Linked DNA regions of Danio rerio. The protein of the gene in region 1 purifies or fractionates together with the protein of each later gene. This does not show direct contact. Links are inferred from orthologs where the notes say so. Each region holds a gene or a part of one and is shown on either strand. Other genes may lie near its edges.

Region 1 (7,975 bases):
TTGAACACAACCAAAGGTTGACCAATGTGTAATGTGAACAATACAAATCACAAAGAAAAAGCTATACAATTATAGCTAAAACAAACAATTCTCATTGATAGTTATTATAGCTCAAAAAATGCCATATCAAAAAGGTAAGCTTTCAGCCTACATTTAAAAACAGACAGAGATGATATAGGCCTAATACAGAGGGGCAGAGCATTCCACAAGGTAGGACCAGCTACTGCGAAAGCCCGGCCATCCCTGCATTTCAGCCTCAACTTTGGGATGTATAACAGTCTCTGGTTAGATGACCGAAGAGACCGACCAGGCTGATGTTCAGTCAACAGGTCTGACAGGTTGGAAGGAGTCAGGCCATTTAGTGATTTAAACATCAGGAGAAGAATTTTAAAAGTTATGGTGCACAGGCAACCAGTCAAAGAGCGTAAGACTGGTGTGATGTGGTCATATTTTTTGATATACACTTTATTATTATACAAAGCACAGCAGCTACCTGTTTTTTCTGTTTATTACAGGTCATGGAAATGCAACATTTTAGTCAGTGAAAGTCAGGAAATGTGATATTTAGCTGAGAGTGAGAAGACTTAGAGTTGAGGACAAAAAAGACTAAAGGATTTCATCCACTGTAGCTGTGGTTAATAAAGATTACATAGTTATGTAACATTTCATTGGTAATAGCCTATTTCTAAAGCACAAGTGACCGCCTCGAGTGTAACTGAGACTTTAATTTGAACAACTTGTTCAAAAACACAGATTTGTTCAGTTAAGAAATATTGCTTCATTGCTCTGAGGTTTTCCTGTTAGTTTGTTCATGTTTGGCTATTCAAGTTGTTGGTAACTTTTGTGTTTTTTCCAGTTGAACATTAAATAATATTGTAAGCTGAAACCACTTTGATGATTCATAAAATGCAAATCAACTACAAGCACTTTAAGACAAATGGAAAACAAAATGAACATTCACGGATTTTGATGATGCATGGAGGTGTAATGAATCAAAACACTTGATCTGTGAAGAATCTGATTATTTACAACATTATTGTGTTTATTTCACACAAAAGGCAATCAGATCTGACTCAATTCACAACAATCTTTACCTGCAAGATTCTTTTCACATAATGACGCTCTTTAATTTCAAAATCTTTCATAAGCCAATATTTTTGATTATGATCTTACCAAAATGGCGACACGGTGGCTCAGTGATTAGTACGATCGCATCACAACAAGAAGGTTGCTAATTTGAGCTAGGCATGGGCCGGTATAAGATTCTGACTGTATGATTACTTTGGATAAAAATACCACGGTTTCACTGTATCATGGTATTATGATTACTGCTCTATAATATATTCTTTTTAAATCTGTGGGTAAAAACAGGGCTTCTGCAGGTTTCATCACATCAAATTAAAGACCTTTTAAGACCTTTATGAATGAAATTTCAGACTTTCACTTGGCAAAACACTAATAATTTTTTTTTTATTTGCCCGATTAAAATTAAAAGTTGGTTTTACAGTTTGGCCATAGCTTTACATGGACAATTAGTGAAAGACCTATTTAAAAGTATTTAAGACCCACAACAGCATATTTCAGTAAATTTAATACTTTTTAAGGGCTTTAAATTTAGTTTTTGAAATTGAGACATTAAGATTTTTTTAAAACACTGTGGACACACTGAAAAAACTAAAACTTTTTTTCCCCTTTGAACACAATATATTTTATTTTGAGAAACATTTATAATATTCTGGAACAGTAAACATGTCGGGCTAAATAATTAATATAAATCACTGACTTCTGCTATCGTCTGTAGTTTTAAATATTCAGATTTCTTTACAATTAAAAATGGCATCTTTGTACATTTTTTCTACTAAAGATACTTTTGCCCTAAAAAACACAAATAAAAAAAATCTTACACATAACTTAGGAACGGTATTACAGAACATTTTGTCAGTTTTAAAACCTTGACTTTTTCAAACCACAGTATAAATTGAAAACGGTTATTGTTCCATGCCTGGTTTGAGCCTGGTTTCGTCAGGGTGCTCCGGTTTCCCCCACAGTCCACCACAGTGGGGTATAGGTGAATTGAATAAACTTAATTGGCCGTAATGTGTGTAAATGTGAGAGCGTATGAAAGTTTTCTAGAACTAGGTTGCAGCTGGAAGGGCATCCTCTGTGTAAAACATGGATAAGTTGGCGGTTCATTCCGCTGTGGTGACCCCAGATTAATAAAGCGACTAACCTGAAAAGAAAATGAATGAATGAATCTTACACACAAATGTAATCCTACTTATTTATACTCCATAATTCAATTATAGAGAATTAAGCTCCCTCTTGGTGAGTTTGCACCCACAATACACATCAGGAAACTCATGCGTTCAAACTCAAAGTTCAGGACCATTTGCCATGGCTGTGTCTAATCGGAGGCCCCTCGTGTTATGAGATCTGTTTCAAGTGAAACAAAGCAAAGGCTTCTATTGTTTATTATAGGTGAACTGCCTATTCCAGCATAGACAAGATGGTAACCCAGAATGCACTGAAACATGCCCATTAAGAGTAAAAACCATGTAAAACCCTTAACCACATAAAGAAAAATATAGATTTTGTTATTTTAATTACTGGAAAAATTTAATTGTACAATTAAATTGCTCTATATTAATCAACTTCTACTTTAGCATAGCTTAGCATAAATCATTGAATCTGATTAGACCATTAGCACTTTTTTGTCATACCATGGCTGCAGCAGGTACAGGTACGCAGCACTGTTGCGTATTATCTGCTCCCGCCATGGTACAGCAGCAGAAGTTCATTGATTTTTACGCTTGAATGAGAGGAAAGTTCATATCCATATCACCAAGAAAATTGATCAAATATTTTTATTTTATTTTCTGTCTGCACTATATACAGAAGAGTCAAGCTTGTAAAGGACAATTGACTCTAAACTAAACGTTCTGTCATCATTTACTGGCCCTGCAGTGGTTTTAAACCTTTATGAGTGTCTTACTTCTGTTGAACACAAAAGATGATATTCTAAACAAAGCTGAAAACCTGTAACCATTGACATCCATAGTAGGAAAAACAGATACTATGGAAGTCAATGGTTACAGGTTTTCAGCTTTCTTTAGACTATCTTCCTTTGTGCAATAGAAAAACACAGAAATGTTTGTAACAAGTGAAGAGTAAAATGATAGCAGTCTTTTTTGTTTAGGGTGTACAATCCATTCATATTTGAGATTTATCGAAACATTTTTTTTTGCGAGATGTTGATGGTCTAATCTAATTCAATCATTTATGCTAAGCTAAGATAAGCTAAGCTAAAAGTGTGTCCAACAGACCTTGATGTTTATAAGGGAAAGAATATCGATCATAAATGTTTTTAAAAGGATGTGTTTGGGGTGAAGAGAAGGTTGGGGTGGTTATTTGTGTGTGTGTGGAATGTAATGCCAAAAAGACAATCAACAATCCCATCTGACCCTGGACTCTGACTCATCCACTGCTAGCATTCAATAAGACGTAACGTACAGTAATTATCATACTGTAATCTCTTTGTTATCACTACAAAGAGGTTTATTTTGAAATAATGACCATCTGAATGTACATTTTTAAAATCTTGTGCTGTTTTTATCTTTGAAAGTTGACTTGAAGTGAGGAATAATGTGTGTCCTGACAGTCTTTCTCTGCATGTTTCAGATTGTGAAGCTGAGGCAGCAGCTCCAGCGCAGTAAACACAGCAGTCGTCACCATCGCGACAAGGAACGCAAATCTCCCTTCAATGGCAACCATGCTGCTTTCAGCCAATCACAGGTGAGCTCTTTCTCACCTGCTCTCAGCTCAGCACAGGAACACTCACCACTGTTATTTGTCTTCTACTTTTTTCTTTCGTGGATTCAATTATTACATCTATAGCAGAGCCATTTCCTCCAGCACCCATTAGCTTGGGTCTATTTGTATTTTATTATTCAAAAGTTGTGGGTTTAGTTAGATTGTGGCTGCTATTTCTTAATCAAAAATAAGAGTAAAAACTTTCAACACAGGCTCATTCTGAAAACGTAGTCCTATATAAATTTGTGGAGATCGCAAATTATGTAGCCAGAAGTACGTATGGCTGCATTTCATTTTTAGAGCGAGCACAATGGGGCGGTATGACATCAGTCCTTTTTGCGCTTACCAGCTGACCTCTTACCTTCATGTGGACGGCTGTCCCGCTGTTACTAATTTGTCCAGTTAGCTCGCAATGTATGTCGGCGGTGCTGAGAGAAATTGACCACAATGACGGGGTTCAAGTCTGGTGAGGAACGGTTTCAGAAAGCAGGAAGGACAAAAACAGACACAAAAAATGTAAATAAACAAGTAAATAACAGGGTGAAAATGTGGTGAAATATAAAAATATGGTAAAAATCAAGCGAGGGATTTTCTTTTTCTGGATTGCTTTTTAAAACTGTCGGTTGGGTTGAGGGAAGGAGGAGTCAGTCAGTCAACAAAGGCCTCTGGTGGATTTACACGTGAACAGCAGTACACAGCGGGCTCTGATGGATTTACATGAAAATGCCAGTACACAGCAGCCTCTGGTGGATTCGTGAAAACAAAAACTGCATCAAAAACGTAGCTCCTGGGACATATTTGCCGCGCCTCACAAATGTATATAGGGGTACGTTTTCAGAATGAGCTTGGGTTAAAAACTTTTCTGTGTACTATTGTCCTTCAGAAAGCATTCTGTTATGTTTATTTGAACCTCAAGTAATTATTATTATTATATTATTATTGTATTCTAGTAATTTTAGTACTAATAAATGCTTTTAAAAGCATTGTTGCCCCATGTTTTTGTGGACATTTTATAGTGATTTTATTATAGGTTTTATTATATTTTTTTACTCTAGATTAAAATGGCTTATTTGAATTCTGCCGTAGTCATTCAGAATATGTGTGCTACCCAAATAATTGGTATTTGAGAACGGGGTTCTCAAGCCAGATGGTGTATTTGACCAGGGACTCATCTTCTATGTCCAAAATGCATCACAAACTGCTTGAGAAACTGTTCTACTATGATAATTAATGATGAAAATAAATGATGTTCAATAAGATGTACTTGTGTTTACTAACTCTTTATTCAATTAAACATTAATTTTGAACTTTAGGCCTACATAAGCTCCACACAGCGATTTCATACTTGCTTTTGATGTACGTACATACAGAAAATGCTGCTTCGCAAAGGCAAGTTCACAGAGCCCTGACGGTATGTCAAACACTGAGTATGGCTGAATATGCTTGAATATGATTAAAACAATACACAGATTAAGAGTTTACCATGTAAACATGTAAACTAAACAGAAATGGAATTAGGACATGTGGAGTATGCAGATATTAGTGGCTTTATTGAAGTAAACACCACGATCAAAAGATTACCGTCATGTAGGACTTTTAGCTATATTATCCGACAAGATTCACATAGGCGGATGTCAGTAAAGGACCACACAAACACACACAGAGATGCACAGGCGCACACACACACACACACACACACACACACATCGCGAAATGCAAAAGTTTTTTTCTTTCCATTTGGCCTGTGTTATTAAATGCCATAACACTCTCACCAGTCCTTACTCCTTATTTGCGTCTAATACCCCAGTTTGTCACGGGGGTATGAATGAAATGTCAGGAATCTTGCTAATTTGATTCAGAATGGCACTTTTTTGTCAGACAGCTCACCGGTCAGGTATACATACCGCTTTAAAATATGAAGGTGAAAGTCATCATAACTTGCAAAGAATAGACCCAGCTTCCAACCCCACTTTGAGAATAGATTAACGGCGATATTTTTTTTATTGCGCAATAAAAGTCTCGCGTTAATGCAGCATGTTAACAACGATAACAGCCCACCACTAGATTTTATATTTTATTATAATAGTTAAATCTATTATTTAAAAAAACATATTTTTTTAGAGATTATTTGATTACTCGAACATTTAAAGAAAAATAAACTTTTGCTCACTTTTTTGATTATTTAATATTCACCTTTGAGCCAAGCTTCAAATCTCATACTTTTGCACACTGTTATTTAATAAATTAGGGATTTTTTTTTTCTCTAGATTGTGGAAAATGGTTCCAGTAGGCCTACATTTTTTAATAAAAAGTAAATACATTTATATAATATGCTAATATCACTAAGAACCAATGAAATCCATTTTATTTTCCCAAATTATTATTATTTTGGTTTGAATTTCTCCTTTTAATATTTAAAATTTAATTTAAATCATCAAAAAGTATTTTTTTTTCTAATTAATTGAAGAAATTAAAATGAAATCATTTAAGTTTTGTATATTTGCAACATTTTACAGTGGCTTTTTATTTTTCTAAATTCCTTCTTATGCCTGCAAAAGTTTAAAAACAGAGCAGGAACTGTGTAATTATTACTTTATTTTGTTATTTTTATTATATAAAGTGTATTAATACTTAATGTTTTAATATTTTAAAAGCAATATTACTAAGATCATGATTATTACTACTTTTAAGAAGCAACTTCTCCTGTACAATAGTAATGGGCCTATATTTCTGCCACATAATCTTCAAGCAAAACCAAACTTTTACAAATGCGCCATGACATTCAGTTATACAGCTGATTCAATCTTAATGTCTCCATGCCACAATTCCACCCCAAATTTTCGGCATTGCAAAACCCAAAAAGCCTTCTGAAGTCAGACCACATGTCTGTACTGACTGAAAGTCCCCTCCAACTGATTCACAAGAGCGTCTGTTTGTTGACATAAGCATAACACAGTGCAGTGAGTGCAATTCATGCCATATAAGCAGAAATAGAATTACAAAACTTATGTATCGAAATCATTTTAGAAGCGCTCATCTCTTGGGTTTCCACACATTTTGAGCTTGTGGATTTCTCTGTCGCACTCGTTCTGAAAGCATGTGAGTGGCTAAGTGTGCATACCAGTGTGTGAAAGTGTGTGTGTGTGTGTGGGTCATAATTGGCAAGGCCAGGTGCAGGCTAGCAGGCTGTTTGAGAGTGAAAGAGCTCTCTTCACCAAGACAGAAACAGTGAATAAATTACTGCAGCCTCTCGCTTGGCCGTGTCTCCCTCCCTCCGTCTTTTTCTCGCTCTCTCATTGGGTTTTGTGTTTGTCCATGAATTAGTCCAGCATGTGGTGAATGTGCCGCACGCCTGATCTTCACTGTACTGTAGCTGCCAGCCAGTCAATTAAAGGCCACACTCTGTCCGGCCCGCTGGATGTGTGTTTTTTTGGGGCCCGTTGTGTGGCTGGGTCTTTTTTTTTTTTTAAAGTCCATGTGGCGGGCTCAAGCACCATCTGTCGTCTCACTGTATTCATCTTTTGTATTTAATCCTCTGAACTGTACTCAGACTAAGACTCAAACCTGCTGCTGCACAAAACACCAAACTATTCAAAGCTCCGTCTGATTTGGACCTGCATACAAATTTGGCCAGCACAGAAAGACACAGAAAAAAAATCCTGCTGAATATCTGTGTTCAGAATGGGGGACAGATGTACTATTGGACATTCAATGTACAGTTGAAGGCAAAATGATTAGTCGCCCTGTGAAATTTTCATAATTTTTATCAGATATATCCCAAGTGGTTTTTAAGAGGGCAATGTAAATTTCCACAGTATTTTGAAAACAATTACTTTTAAGGTCAATATTATTTGCCTCCTTAAAAATGATTGGCTACAGAACAAACCACTGTTGTCCGTTGACTTGCTTCGTTAACCTAATTAACCTAGTTAAGCCTTTATTTTGCAATTTACTGTAAGCTGAATACTACATCGTAAACTGCGCTTCACATTGTTTTTAGCTGAATCAAATGCACTTTTCTAGTCATTTCAACTTAAATCAGTCAAACTGACTTAAAATATTACGTTAAACTTTTTATAACTAAACAAAATTTACTTGAAACCTGATTAACTTATTAAAATACATCAAAGTAACGTAAAAGCATTTGTTGTCATGTTTTTATACA
Region 2 (8,754 bases), on another chromosome or scaffold:
AGTAAACAACAAGAAGACTACAGACATCTTGCTGAAGAAAAAGAAAAACAAACCTCCATGCCATCCATTGCCATGGTGGCCAAGTAGTTAGGGTCCTGTTTGTTCCAGCAGAGGCGCAGCAGTGGGTGGTGTTGAGGGTCCTCATAGATGATGGTGCTGTGCTCCAGGTGTCGCAAATCAAACATACGCACAGACCCATCCGCTCCTACTGACGCAAACATATCCCGACCTCCACCCGCACGGCTGAATGCGATGTCATACACCTGAGAGCCAATAGAAAAGCAGGATTTAAATGGGAGAGAGAGAGAGTTGCAGAAGTTGCAGAATGACATCAATCTGAAATGAGAACATGAAGTACTGGCTCGAGTTGTTCCTAACCTCCTTGTCGTGAGCAATTAGCTGTGTTTTGACGTGACCCGACACTAGGTTGACTCTTCCCAGGACCTGTCCTGTCTCTAGACCCCAGATTGTACAAGTGGTGTCAATACTAGATGTCCCTGAAAAACAGAAAATAAACATACATTGACAAACTGATGGGCTTTGAAACTGAAGGCAAACATACAAATGCACAAAACTAAATTCTTCCCAAAACCCTTACCCAGGAGGTTGGGGTCCACTTCATTCCAGTCAAATGAGGTGAGGGGTGCACAGAAATCAGAGTTCTTATTATTATTCAGCAGACACTCCAGACGGGTCTCTGTATCATTCACCTGACAACAACAACAACATACATCCAGTTCACTTACTTCATTCATGCACAATGAGTTTCATGGTCACAGTATTAAAGGTGCCATAGATTGCAAAGAAGTTAAATTGTTCTTTGAAATCGATATAGTAGCTATTAGTGTTGTCACGATACTGGAATTTCCAACTTCGATACAATATCTTAAAAAAATATCAATATTTGATGCCATTCACATGGAAAAAATTCTTTTACATTAAAGGTTTTCAAATGAAGTAAAAAGGGGGAAATAATTACCATATAATGCTCATACCAGGTATGTCAGCAGTCCTTAAGTCCAAAATTCAATAAATTACAAAAAAGAAACTAAATTAGTGCAATCTCAGCTTATTTTCTGATTAAAACTAGTGTTAAAACCTTAATATTATTATTAATTGTTCATCTCCCTGCTGGTGAGTAGAGAGTGCAAGAAAGCAAAGCCAATATCGATACTAAGCAAAAAGAAAGATTGTAACATTTGAATTGTTTCAGTATTAATGTATCAATATTTTGACAACACTAGTAGCTATGAGGCTTAGGTAAGTTTTACCTTTTTATAATAGGCTTAATTATAACTCTAGAAAATATCCCTAGAACGACAACCATGTTTTTGACCATATTTGGAATGGTCGAGAATAATAACGCAGCAGCTCGTCATAACCTGGGGCCCGTTTCAGAAAGGAGGTTAAGAAAAAACTCAGAGTATTAACCCTGAAATGAGAGAAACTCTGTGTTTTCAATTTCAAAATGGCAAGCTTGTCAAGCTGGAGAAAGCAAGGTAAGTCAAGCCAGTTTTTGAAAGAGAGGTAACTTTAACTCAGAGTAAGTTACCACGGTAACTGACTCTGTGAACCTAACCTGGTCAGGAGCTGATTTATTCTCTAAACTTTGAGTTTCTGTCGGTCTTCTACCCTTTTTTTAAAGACAAAGCTGTATTTCTCACCTTAGCCTTACATTTCCACCTACCTATTTGTATGCTTTTTGCATATGCGCATAAAAAAAATCAGTTGATGGAAACGCCAAGATGCGCATAACTTTTGAAATGTTATGTTTAACTGATGAATGTAAAAGTGGGAACCTTAAATTAAACCGGTTGTCTGGATTCTTGTTCAATATTTTCAAATGAAGATGTGAAAAAGTTTATTTGAAACAAATGGTGTTTGAGGCTCATGATATATCATTTCCATGTACTGGACACTTTTTATTCAGCTATGGCCATGTATATCTAGGTTTTCCTTATATGGCATCTTTAAAGCTAAAGTATGCCTGATTGTTTCAAGCTGGAATCAAATCATAATTGACTCCATTTATCTCTTAATACACATTCCTGGTCTTATCGTGAACAACAGTAATCCCTGATATATCCTGAACAAAGCTCCACTGGCTTGTAAGAGATTAACATAACGCCAGCCTACAGTCTTCATTAAGTGTCAACAAACACTCAGTTTACTCGGACCCTTTAAAGCTGTAGTATGAGGCCTGGAACAGTTTAGTTTGTGCTGCAGCCATGTTGAGAAGACTTGATCCACTATGCAATCACTTCCAAAAAAAAAAAAACTAGGAATTTGCAAGGGATATGGTAGAACTGACACTATTGTTTTATCAGTGTGTATACAAGAGCTGAAATTCAGATATGGTCATATATGATTTAAATTCAAAAGTACACTGTTGTAAACAGAATAAGCCATTTGACTAATCAGAACAAGGTAGACTCTTGGAAAGAAGGGGTTTAGAGAGATTGAATCTTTGAACAGACTGATTCAGGTGCTTCATGTAAGACAAAATACTGCTTTGCATATTATGACATGACAGGTGTATTCTTGATCTAGGATGAACTTATTATAGAAGACCTCCAAAACAAAAAGAGCAAACTTTAATATTGCATAATAGGGGCACTTCAGAAACTGTGCACGTGCTCCTCCTGCATACCCTCCATATGCGCAGATAGTCTCCACTGGTTGCCAGTAGGTCTGGATAGACGCCTTTGGTGTCTGGGATCCACATGATCTTGGTGGTGGGGTACGGATGATCAAAAGTGTTTCTGCATACAAACTCTGAGCTCTCCTCCTCAAGACCAACCAGCTGGACCTGAACATCACAAAACAAATAGCATGATGTCATAAGTTTCTGACAGCATGAAAGTAGCACCTTTTTCATTTTTATAGACAATTATATATTTTCCCACTTTATTTTTGTGATCATTTTTGGTTGTGACTGCAAGCACCATATGTTGTGCCAAAAATGTGTTTTTCGGTTACCTGTGGAGCAAATATCTAAAAAAAACCAAATATATTTACCTTCCATTTTCTGCTTTGAAGACTGCTGATTAAATTAGGGCTGGACGATATGGCACAAATGCAACCTCAATAGTTATTTTCAATATTAAACGATGACAATATATATTTTACGATACAAGTTGATAATGCTTCCAGATTTAAAAGAGTACCCCAACAATGACTGAAGCCACAAAATATTAGAGGGTCCATTAAATGGCATAACATATTTTCAGCTGATAAATTTTCAGTTAGAGTTGTGCGATTTGGGGAAAATACCCAATTGCAATTTTTTTGACAGACATTGCGATTTTATTTTTGATTTAATTTTGTAGTCAAGATTCAGCTCAATAATTTGTAAGTTGTGGCAACAACTCTGCGACATCTCTTCAAAATGACCTGTGTTTGTTCCGTGTCTGTGACTGAAACTAAAATATTCCCATATCACGACATGCTGTTTTTCTTTGATATGAATTCTTCTATTAATACTTCAGTTGCAGATGCCATATTCCCACCTTCCTGCATTTTGCTGTTTGTTTCCTTTTTATTGAGGGTTTTCGGCATAGTTTGGTTGTGCAATTCTGTTTAGGCAGAATGAAAGTGTGCTCACTCAATTGGCTAGTAAGACTGTCAAGCTACTACGACAGTTTCAGCGGGGGAAGCTAAATAATACTTCATATCGCAGCCTCTTGCGATTAACTTGTTGCAACGTTTCGAATTGCAATTCGATTAATCGCACAGCGATTTCAGTAGCCGAAAAAATGGTACAGCTCTAATATCATCAAACTTTCAGATTCCCATTGTGGCACATTTCTGCTGTGTGATTGGCTCTTAGATCAATATAGAGTAAAAAAGTCCAGTGCTTATCATTGTTATTTATATTATATAATATTGTGATTCGATATGATATTTATATAATATTATGTATTCATAACTACGTGTGTGGAGGGATGAATAGTGTTTGTAAGTATATGCTGTGAAGTGTACATGTGAGTGGTAGATTTTTTTATGTGATAAAGCACAATAAAATGGCTGTATTTAAATGAATTCTTCTGGTCACTGACATGGGACTGATGATAAAAAAAGAGTCTATATTTATTTTCCCACAAAAAAACAACAACAAAAAAACAGTGGTAATGATTAAATGAAATGTCTAAAATTATTGCATTTTCTGACAATTATCATCAGGACTGGTGCGGGTGGTACAGAAAAATCTGTCAGTGAAAGGGTTTTGAAAGCCCTAGATATACTTCTATTATGAATTTTAGACAGACATTTTGTCCTCTACGAACCTATTCGTAACCTTTAATTCGCACACGCTAAATACAAGATACAAAATAACAGTCGCTTAAAATATACAATTATTAGTGTCTGTCATACATTTGCGCGTTAAAATTCCAACACTGTGGAATAACCTGCACCTTACATGTTTTTAGGCTACACACTTCACTATGTGAAATGATAGCGTGTGTCATAAGATCAGACATAAAGCATAGTGTTGTGTGGCAGCAGGTGTTTACCTTGTTGTTGTACTCCTCGACGAAGCTGCCGAGCGCGAGCCGAAAGCGCTTGTCGGGTCTGACGCTCCAGTTCATAGCATAGACGGTCCATGGCGCCTCGTATTTGTAGATCTCTTTTCGTTTACCGTGCAACGACATGCTTCAATCCCAGTGATCGGCGACAGCTAGAGAGAATTAGGTCGTTAGGAGTAGCTTGATTCGACGGGATGTTTAAAAAAGGCTCTTACAGAGATAAATATGGTCTCGGGTTTGTGCAGCGCGAGACAAAGAGAACGTCATAACAATCCCTCTCCGCAACGGCCGCGAAAACGACGAGCTGCCTACAAAACAGCACGATTCCTGCCTAATAAAACACGCAAATAACCATCAAACATTCATAACTGCGTGTAGCTAAAGGGCCATGTTTTTCCTTAGTCCCGACGGTTTTAATTCTAACTTTAGAAAGCCCTAAATAGGCCCTACCGCTCAACGGCGCATTTGGTCTGAAAGATGTGTGTCTGCGTTTCAAAATAAAAGTCCCGGATAGAAAATGGGGGTTGAGCGCTGAGGCTATTTATAGATCCATGTTGCTAGTTGATTATTTTACTTGCGCATCATACTGGGCGGCATAATGTTTATGAAATTTTGATTAATTTTAGCTCCCTTCAGCCATGGAAATTAGCAAAGTGTAAGATTTTTTTTAAACTGCAAAAACACTAATCGCAGTATGAAAATGTAAAATAAGAGTGAATATCAAATAGAGAATAGAGAAATATGAATAAAAATCTGAAATCTGATTTAAACAGAAGTGATTAGTAAAAATAATGTAAAAAAATGCTTGTAAACATATTTCATTCTCACTTTAAATTTATTTGAGACATTTCAGTGTCCTAATTATCTTTGAACCTTTGAAACCTGCAAAAACACTAAATAGATTAAAATGCAAACATAAATGATAAAATATATAAATAAATTAGTAAATAAATAAATAAATTCTTCATAAATAAAACATTACATAAATTAATATGCAAATATATAAATAAATGAATAAATAAATCCATAAATTATTGCATAAATAAAACATTAAATAAACAACATTTGCAAATTAATAAATGAATATAAATAATATATAATACGAATATAAATAAATGTATATAAAAAATCCACAATTGTTTTTGCATATATAAATATTTAAATAGAACGAGCATGCAAATAATTATATAAATTACGGGAAAAAAAGAAAATGCTAAACTGAAAGTTTATTCATCCCCTCTCTCAAACGTTTATTAGAAAAAAACTTTCAGTGTAGCATTTTTATATTCCCCTCCTGTAATTTATTTAATTATTTGCTTGCCTGCACTATTAACTATTTATATATTTATTTATGCAGAAATCTATGGATTTATTTACTCCTTTATTTATACATTTGCGTATTTATTTATTTATTGTTTTTGTAGGTTTCGCCCTCCATAAAATTGTAATAATAACAATACTATAAATAAATGCACAAATTCCTCCATAAATAAAACAATAAATAAATAAATATTTAGATAAATGAATAAATATACAAATTCCTGCATAAATAAAACAATAAATAAATTATATATATATATATATATATATATATATATATATATATATATATATATATATATATATATATATATATATATATATATATATATATATATATAGATAGATAATTCTACAGATTTCTGCATAAATAAATATAGAAATAATTAGTATTGCGGTGAGAAAGGGGGGAAATCTACAGTTTAGCATTTTCTTATTACCACATATCCGTGTAATATATTTAATTATTTATAAAAAAAAGTATACATATTTATTTATTTGCATATTTATTTATTGTTTTGTTTATGCAGGAACTTGCGGATTTATTATTTTATTTGTTTGCATATTTATTCATTGTTTTTGCATGTATGGTCCTCCATACATTGGTGTTGTTATTATTTAATACACAATATTATATATTTATATTGTATATTATACATAATATGTGTAACATTAATAACTAACCACGACATCTAACAGTCCACACTTCAGCTACAGTTTAAATAAAAAAAAAAAAGAATCATTTATTAGAGCGGCGTAAACGCCCGAATCTTTTCCTTTTCTTATCCTGGTTGTCAAGGCTCGCGCGCAAAGCATTGTGGGTAGAGTGATTCGGTCAGATGACCCCCTTGCCTCTCCTGTGAGGGGTACAGCTGCTGTCACACACTGAAGGTAACACCGGCGGTTACAGGTGGGTCTTCTTAAATTCCTTGGTCTTTTTTGTAATAAACCCGTGATCTGAAACGTTCGCACAGCCGCAGTGCAGCAGAAATGTCGCGTGTCGTTTGAACGTTACGGCTGTTCTTGTGGCGGCCGTTGCTAGTGAGCTAATCGGCTATCAGTCTACGGGGCTCATGGGGGATGGGGGAACCCGGGTTGGGACCTGTTAAATGTAATATTTGTTAAATTTATCAGACTTGACTATTACTGTATATCAGTCCGGTGTGTTCTCTAGCAGTTCAGCGTGAAAGTTTTAGTTTAACGACGAGGTGGCGCTGGCACGACGAGGTTTTCCGAGATTGGAGGTTAAGCTGGGTTAACATTTAATATTAACTTTGCGGTTTGTTATTCCAGAGTTTATTCCAGGACTGGCCTTGTAACAGGTGGAGCATGACTTGACAGCCGGTTATAGCTGTTAACTGATATTACTAGTTACGTGTAACTCCTTGTCTTGGCATAAACTGCTGTCAGATTTTTTTTTTTTTTTTTTACATACAATAGATTGAAGTATTGCTATATTAGTGCCAGTTGTAGTGTAAATGAATTCAAACCAGGCCTGAAGTGTATTTATGCCATGATGTTGTAATGAAGTTATCTTTATCTTTAATTATTATTTTATAATAATAATAATAGACAATTAAAAAACTTTTTTATATTTTCATATATTTTAATTGTTATCTTAATATTTGGTCATTTTCAATTTAGAATGAAATATACTGTACAAAGACTGATATACTATATACTAGTCAGCCATGGCTTCATTTGGGTATTAAAAGGCCATAAAACTAGCTAATTTGTGTTGAATATATTAATAGTAACATTAACTTACAAGACTAAATGAGCTAAAAATCAAAATGTAAACTCAAATAGTATTTAATATTTTAGTTTTTTCACTTAACAATTTGTCATTTTTAGATTAGAAACTCTTTTTCCAAGATCTTTGGCAACCTAATATAGGAAAAAAATGACACAAATGTTGAAAAGTCGTGAAAATGTAAAGTTAGGTCCTATATTATTTTTATTGTCAATACTATAATGCATCTTTATGTTTTATACATTTGTGTTTTTCATGCTGTGTTTTTTTTTCTTTAGAAAGAAATTGTCATTTGTAATTTTGCTATTTATTAAGAAAAAATTACATAATTTGTTAAATTTCATTATTATTATTATTAAATATAGTTTACATTTATATAGACTAAATAAATATACCAGGACAATTTGGTTGGCCCCATAAGTCGATGCTCATACTAAAGCTCCATATTTCTCCTCTTGAAGGAGAACATGCTACAGACTGTACCATGTGATTATTAAAGACTTTCAGCCAATTAAAGACACTTGTTTCAGTGAACATCTGAGGCTTAGGCTTTGACAATAAGACTCTCAAATGAATGTCTTACCTCCCCCTTCCTTATCTATCTATCTATCTATCTATCTATCTATCTATCTATCTATCTATCTATCTATCTATCTATCTATCTATCTATCTATGTGGTGCAAAACCTGGATATTTGAAACAATTATTTGTTCATCTATTGAGTGTTTTTCTGCATTGGTTATCAAAGTATTAATACATGCACACACACATTTCTGGTTAGCAGTTTAAACACTAGGTATTTTGTTATTAGAGTCTTATTTTGTGTTTACTACAACATGCCTTATTGTCTTAAGCATGGAGTACTTTGGGCTAAGTGTGTTTTGACATGTTTTTGGATATACACACTAAATAATTCACAAGGTAGTATCGTGACTGGTTTGATCACCTGTAATGTTATTGTCAAACATCGACTCTGTATTTTTCACTTACACCTCTACATTAGTTTATAGTACCAACAAATAAGCCTGAATATGCACTAGGGCTTTGCGATTTGGAAAAAATATCTAATTGTGATTTTTTTTTTTTTTTGACATATTGCGATTTGATTTATAATTTAATTCAAGCTTTAGCTCAATAATCTGTAGACCATGGCAA

The links.
Region 2: the proteins of fam117bb (region 1) and dcaf7 purify together in Homo sapiens (affinity purification with mass spectrometry; 3 studies listed by BioGRID and IntAct, with this or other methods). This does not show direct contact. The link is inferred for Danio rerio from reciprocal best matches to the Homo sapiens genes FAM117B and DCAF7.

Annotation. Positions count from the first base shown.
Region 1 is NC_133184.1:13,326,338-13,334,312, forward strand, and holds part of fam117bb (protein FAM117B), read left to right. Parts: intron 1-3,678; coding exon 3,679-3,792; intron 3,793-6,262; exon of another isoform or gene 6,263-7,975.
Region 2 is NC_133178.1:30,504,282-30,513,035, reverse strand, and holds the start of dcaf7 (DDB1- and CUL4-associated factor 7), read right to left. Parts: upstream 4,797-8,754; 5' UTR 4,653-4,796; coding exon 4,515-4,652; intron 2,810-4,514; coding exon 2,651-2,809; intron 711-2,650; coding exon 599-710; intron 498-598; coding exon 379-497; intron 264-378; coding exon 54-263; intron 1-53. UniProt on the Homo sapiens protein: Involved in craniofacial development. Acts upstream of the EDN1 pathway and is required for formation of the upper jaw equivalent, the palatoquadrate. The activity required for EDN1 pathway function differs between the first and second arches.